2 linked regions of the Kluyveromyces lactis genome follow. Each later gene encodes a partner of the first gene's protein in a complex. Links are inferred from orthologs where the notes say so. Each region holds a gene or a part of one and is shown on either strand. Other genes may lie near its edges.

Evidence for each region. Proteins that work in one complex are often made in the same cells at the same time.
Region 2: the proteins of SHE3 (region 1) and SHE2 are in contact, whole or in part, in a crystal structure (PDB 4WNL), measured with the Saccharomyces cerevisiae proteins. The link is inferred for Kluyveromyces lactis from reciprocal best matches to the Saccharomyces cerevisiae genes SHE3 and SHE2. Residues at the interface, in NP_009688.3 of Saccharomyces cerevisiae: Val363, Leu364, Pro365, Gly366, Val367, Lys368, Arg369; in NP_012792.1 of Saccharomyces cerevisiae: His150, Lys153, Trp157, Glu190, Thr191, Ile194, Gln197, Glu198, Ile199, Leu200, Leu211, Ala214, Trp215, Ile218.

The regions. Positions count from the first base shown.
Region 1 is NC_006040.1:759,035-762,916, forward strand, and holds SHE3 (She3p), read left to right. Parts: upstream 1-1,760; coding exon 1,761-2,798; downstream 2,799-3,882. Other genes in the region: RNA-binding signal recognition particle subunit SRP54, read left to right, coding at 1-1,376; OPY1 (Opy1p), read left to right, coding at 3,280-3,882. UniProt on the Saccharomyces cerevisiae protein: RNA-binding protein that binds specific mRNAs including the ASH1 mRNA, coding for a repressor of the HO endonuclease. Part of the mRNA localization machinery that restricts accumulation of certain proteins to the bud and in the daughter cell.
Region 2 is NC_006038.1:1,092,753-1,095,929, reverse strand, and holds SHE2 (She2p), read left to right. Parts: upstream 1-1,947; coding exon 1,948-2,673; downstream 2,674-3,177. Other genes in the region: HFD1 (hexadecenal dehydrogenase), read right to left, coding at 126-1,691; EUC1 (Euc1p), read right to left, coding at 2,772-3,177. UniProt on the Saccharomyces cerevisiae protein: RNA-binding protein that binds specific mRNAs including the ASH1 mRNA, coding for a repressor of the HO endonuclease. Part of the mRNA localization machinery that restricts accumulation of certain proteins to the bud and in the daughter cell.

The sequences.
Region 1 (3,882 bases):
ACGCTCAAACGAAGAAACTAATCCAAAAGACTGTATTTGACGAACTTTGTAACTTGGTGGACTGTGAAGTGACCTCTCCATTTCAACCTAAGAAGAGACAGAGCAACGTTATCATGTTTGTTGGTTTACAAGGTTCTGGTAAGACCACTTCTTGTACAAAGCTAGCGGTGTATTACTCAAAACGTGGTTACAAAGTTGGTTTAGTTTGTGCTGATACTTTCCGTGCCGGTGCATTTGATCAGTTGAAACAAAATGCCATCAAGGCCAAGATTCCATTCTACGGCTCTTATACAGAACCTAATCCAGTCAAAGTTGCAAAAGATGGTGTGGACAAGTTCAAGAAGGAAAAGTTTGAAATTATAATCGTCGATACCTCTGGTAGACATCAACAGGAAGATTCTCTATTCCAAGAAATGGTTGAAATATCGCAAGCTGTCAAACCAAAACAGACAATTATGGTTCTTGATGCATCCATTGGTCAAGCCGCAGAACATCAATCTAAGGCTTTCAAAGAAAGTGCAGATTTCGGTTCCATTATTTTAACTAAGATGGATGGTCATGCAAGAGGTGGTGGTGCAATCTCAGCTGTAGCATCCACAAATACTCCAATTATCTTTATTGGTACTGGTGAACACATCCATGACTTTGAAAAGTTCTCTCCCAAGTCGTTTGTTTCTAAGCTTCTCGGAATTGGTGACATCGAATCTTTGATGGAACGTTTCCAAACAGTATCTGACCAAGATGATGCAAAGAATACTTTAGAGAATATCCAACAGGGTAAATTCACTCTACTTGATTTCAAGAACCAGATGCAAACAATAATGAAGATGGGTCCCCTATCAAACATCGCGAATATGATTCCTGGTATGGGGAATATGCTTAACCAATTCTCAGAAGAGGAAACTTCAAAGAAAATGAAGACAATGGTGTATATTTTTGATTCAATGACCAAGAAGGAACTTGAATCGGACGGTAGAATCTTCATCGATGAACCTAGTAGGTTGGTAAGAGTGGCAAAGGGTTCCGGAACAACGGTATTTGATATTGAAATGCTTTTAATGCAACAACAGATGATGGCAAGAATGGCGCAAACAACTAAACAAATGGGAGGACTCCCAACAAAAGGCGGAATGCCACCAAAGGCAGGTATGCCTTCTATCCCTGGTATGCCATCAATCCCTGGTATGCCAAATATCTCTCCACAAATGATGCAACAGGCTCAACAGCGTATGAGACAGAATCCTGGTATGATGAACAAGATGATGAGTATGATGAAAGGATCTGGAGGTGGTATGCCAAACATGCAAGATATCATGGGAATGATGCAAGATCCAAGTATGCAAGAAATGGCCAAGCAATTTTCTGGGGGAATGTAGAGCGTTTTCTTCAGAATGGGCTATTATAAAACGCAATCGGCAGATACTTGGATATTTGTACATCTTAGTTTAGTTACATACACTCTTATTTACCTTCTTCTTCGTTAATCTGTAAATTAGAAATCCACCTCTGTGATTATACCTTCAATAGAGCTAGCTTCATTATAAATGGGTGAATCGAGCCCAGTTTCTTCTTGTGCAGTCTCTCTCGAAGTACTATTCGTAGTAGATCATTAAAACGATCATTGTTTACATTTCAAGAAAAAAAAACGATATCGAACTGAAACAAATACGTTAATATTAAGACACACGCAACTTAGAATGACAGAAGCATTCAGTTAAAGTTCCAGAATCGTTGGAAGTAATATCTAGGACCGACTGTGGATGAAGATGACGGAAGCACAAGAGTTCTTGACTCCTACGAAAGGTGTGAATTCAAGCAAATTCAATATCAACCATGGCCATTTTATTACGAACCTAGAGAATCAGGAGAGTCCGTCCAAGCTAGGTGCATACACACCGGGAAAATACTCTACCAGTAGAGTAATAGAATCACTACACAAGCAGATAGACGAGCTGACGAGTACGAATCTTAAAATGACGTCTCAATGCCATCAATTAGTGAATGAATTGGAATCTTCTGGGAAGAAACAGAATAAACAATTGGAGACCATCTCGAGACTGCAGACAGAAAATATGAACCTAAATGCAATACTAGATAGGAAAACTAATAGAATGAATGAATTGGAGAGTTCTTTGAAGAAACAAACTGTGTTCAATGAAGATGCAGCCAAAAAAAATCTTGAGTTAGAAGAAACCGTTAAGAAACTATCACTCGAAAACGAAAAGCTTACGGAACAATCGACTCTGTATAAAATTCAATATGAAGCTATCGTCGATGCACACCAATCTTATAAACAGTTTTTCACGAACGAAACAAGCACTTTACGAAATGATCTAATGTCTTTGAAACAATCCATGACCAAACAGTTGGAATCTAAGACGAAGGAAGTATTGGCAATCGATGAAAAGATACAAAATAAACTAGAGTCACTAGACAGTGCTCAAGAATCCTTTAAAAAACATGCATCTGAGCAAATAGAAGATAATATCAAAGAACTAAGGCTTGATAGTTGGCAATCTTCGTTAAGAGAAGCGCAAGCTTTATTGAAAGAATACAAATCACAAGCACAAGCAGAAGGTATTACCATTCAAGAACAACCCAAAGCGTCTATCCCACAATTAAGAAATCCCAAGAGGAAAACTAGTGGTCAAAAGAGGACAAGTTTTTATGGAACTCCTACTGGCTTCTCAATACCATCAAACAAACAAACGCCTCCATCTAGCAGTTCAACTCAATTGCCTGGCCTCAAAAGAGCTTCATCAATCAGAATATCATCAGATCCGAACCGTAATAGATAGCAAGAGTAGTATTTCCCAATATTCTATTGTTGGCAAACATATATTGTCAATAAATTATCCTGGCGTTTCTAACTTATACATAAATCTAGCGATTCACAATTCATTATATAGAATTTATGATTTGAATAAAAACGTTACCTTTCTTGAATCCGATTTTCCAGAGAATACCAACACTATGTTCAAGTACTCATCCTAACCGAGCAGGTAGTAGTGAAGATCTACATACTTTCATCAGCGTTCATTTTTGTATTCAGGATATCGGTTTCTTGTGTTTCCTGCATGATCCATTTCCATATATTTTCGAAACAAAGGATTATTTGTATAAAGAAAGGAACTTGGCACGAATCCTAAACGATTAAACAAAAACGACAACAAATTACAATGACCACTGGCCGATCGTGCCGCCTGGAAATCATCATTTTTACAAGGAAAACGGCGAAATCAATATCATAGTACTAGACAGTTGTCTCTGCAAGAAGAAATGGGACAACAAACCTTCGAAGATAATGAAGAGATTATTTATTCGTCATATCTTGTAAAAAAACCCACCGTCTCGAAGTCTATTTCATCCACGAAACAATTGGCAAAGAACTGGACTAATTGGAGTGTCAAGAAGACGAAATACAATCACAAGTACTGGTGCGTCTTAAGGAAGACGCAATTCAGTTATTATAAGGATGAGTCTGAGAGGGTTGCCGAGAAAGTTATTCCGATACAAGATATTTTGGGATGCAGAGCGTACGGGGATAACAAGCTTGATATCTTCACGAAGGGGATGACTTTACGATTCAAATCTCCAGATGCAGATGTAATCCGTAGTTGGGTACAGTCCATCAACGAGTTATTACCACACTTGAACAATTATGGCTCTGAATCTGACCTTGAGATTGCAGAATCCGATGACGAACAAATTGAAGGGGAACAAGCTGATGAACATGGGATACAGAAAACAACTCAAGTCGTTAAAGAAAATAAAGATACCAATTCCACTTCTGATATAAAATCTATTAATAACGGAGTTGTCGAAGAAGACAAGAAGTTTTTCGAGTTTTATGACGCCTTAAAACCTTCGCATCTAATTCAA
Region 2 (3,177 bases), on another chromosome or scaffold:
AATTGATTGAAAGAAAACAAGTAACAGATCATAAGTACTACATATTTTGTAAATATAAAATAGAAATCATAGTTATGAAAAACTGGGTCATAATACGAAAGAAAACACCGGATCATAGAACTCCATCACATCATGGCATTGATTAAGAATCCCAATAATACACCAGACGTTAAGATGATGCCAATATTCTTAATGCCATAAATTCTGCGGCCATTTCTGTCAAAGTTTGGTTTATCCTCTAAAGATATCTGAGAAATCCTCGTATTGAGTTTATCAAACGGAGGATATCTAACATATATCAAGAGGTCCACCCAAAATGGTTGTTTGAATATAGTTCTTTCATGAGTGAACGTCTTGAAGGTATAAGGGCCATGATAATTACCGTAACCCGAGGTTCCTATACCACCGAAAGGAGCCTCTTCGATACCAACGTGAAGCAATGTGTCGTTAACAACACAAGCACCAGATCTAATTCTTGTCAAGATGTGATCAATTTCATCCTTTGAATTAGTAAAAATATATTGGACAAGAGGTGTGTCGAATCTTTTAATGAGAGTATCGATGGTTTCATCCAAATCAGTATATCTCATGATAGGTAAGATGGGTCCAAAATTCTCACCGGTCATACTTGGATCATCCCAAGAAACGTCTGAGATTATGGTGGGTGGGATACATAACGGTGGGAGATTGTCTGAATGTTGAGCAACAGTTTTTTGACCCTTAGTGGTCTCAATGACGGTTTGAATCCTATTGTAGGCTCTTTCGTGAATCATGTGAGTATATTCAGTGTCAGAGGTGACAGAAGGGTAAAACTCATTCAATACTTTCTTGCAAGAATCAACAAACTCATCGTAGATCGAGTCAGGGCATAGGACATAATCTGCGGCGACACAAATCTGACCTGCGTTCCCCATAGAACTGTAATAAATTCTTCTTATTGCAGTCTCCCATTGTGATTTAGGCAAGTTGGGGGATATAAACACTGGAGACTTCCCACCAAGTTCTAATACACATGGTGTTAGACTCTTAGCAGCCTTCTCTGCTATGATTGTCCCAACGGTCGTAGATCCAGTGTAAAATATCTTATCGAATTTACCGGATTCGACTAAAGCACTTGTTTCTTCAGCGCCACCTTGCACCGTCTCCACTTGACCCTTTTCAAACGCCTCATTACATATCTCTTCCATTACTTCAGCACATGCTGGTGTCAATTCACTAGGTTTGAACACCACGGAATTACCACCGGCGATGGCTCCAGCTAATGGATCCAATGCCAATAATATGGGGAAATTAAACGGAGAAATGACAAGAACGGTCCCCAATGCGATCTTTTCCACGAAAGTCGTACCGAACCAATGTGCAAGTAAACTAACCTTAATCTTCTTTGGTTCGATCTCTTTCTTCATGTTTTTAATCAAATAAAGGATATTGTTGTACAAGGGGACTAATTCAATAGTAAGCGTTTCACTTCTTGCCCTATGGAAATCCTTACTTGCTGCTGCAATAAGACGTTCCTCATTATCCTTCACTGCCCAGTAAAGCTTCTGCAAACTCCTGATCCTCTCATTGATATCAGTAGCCCTAGGGGACTTGCTTTGGGCTAACCTGGCTTGTCGAGACCTGTAAAACTGCTTAGCAAGCTCAATCTTGCCAGGAATCGACTTCAAATCTGTAAATTTAAACTTGGACATGTTGCACTGGTTGTTTGTCTCAACTGATGTAACAACTACCAACTTCAAAGTAAACTAAACTCTTAACTGACATTTGTGTATTGTGTTTCGGTATTTAAAGGTTTACTTCTCCAATATTCTTAGGTTCTTTAAATATTAAGGCTTTTCGGTTTTAATGTTATCCGGTGAAGACCAGCGATGGGCATGAAGAAAAAGCATTTAAAAACCGTTTAAAGGGCCCACTAACTGCTCAATTGGTTTAGTTTGACAAGTTATCATGGCTTACTGTCAAGTGGTTATCTCGAAAGAGATTCTGGATGCTGTGTTACAATTGGTTTCCACATATTCAAATTATATATCAAGATATGTGGACTATTTGAACAACCTTATCGCAGTCCAGCGTCGTGTGAGCACGCTACGTTTCGAAAGGATGACATTGATCAAGTACGTTAAGAAACTACGGTTCATGGCTGATGTTTTACACAGCTGGTCGTTTGAAGGTGAGAATGATCTTATTGGAAAACGGTTAAACGAAGTGATCGATCCATTGGGAGCATATTTAATCAAAGTGTTTGAAATATTAGACCTGTTGAACTTCTACATTACACAGCCGATGAGAGGCGAAACGATCTCTAAGACTTTGAATGAGGATTTGGTCGTTAGTGAGGAGACCATTGTTTGTATCAATGACAGCTACAGGATATATATCAAGGGAATTCAATGGTTAGTAGAATCGATCAGTGAAAGGAATGGCAACTGTCCTCACCTGGCACTAGAGTTGATTGAATTCACTAGAAAATGTGCCATTGAAGATGAGGTGGATTTCACTGCTAGCGAAGATATCTTACTGCAAGACGTTGCCATTGTGGAAGTAGAGGAAGAATACGTTGACCTGTTGCATGATTGGTCTGCGATCCTGGTGCAGAAACAAACAGAAATGAAGGAGTTGTTCTCAGAGGACTCAAAGAGATGGGCTTCAATGACTAAACCGGTCAAGAAGTAGGTGAGGGTATCCTACACGTTCGCACATATTTGTATATATATATATATAGAATATAGAATATCAAATTAAAAAGTTACATACAGTTCGTCATACAGGTCTCATGTCATGATGGAATGTTCTTCTGCCAACTGGGATGGAGTCTTCTTCTTCTGCCTGCTTTTGATTTCTCGAATACTTGGAGCGTCTTTGTTCTTCAATGATAACGAATAATCGTCATATGAATCCATATACTTAGAGAAATAGAGGTAAAGTTGTGCTAAGGTCATACAGCAGGGCGATCCGTTGTTATATCTGTTGTTACCCACGCGTAAGTTTTCAATAACGCGTACAGCTTTCCTTCTGGTGATGTCAAGCGGGAGGTTAAACCTCGAAGGTTCACGAAGAATCGTTTCTATCCTTTGTATTATTACGTACCTCTTATGGAAGAACGTTCTTTCACCTGCACTGCTTCTCCAAGTAGATCCGAACCTTCTTTCAAGAGCCATCACGGATGGCTGACCCGGT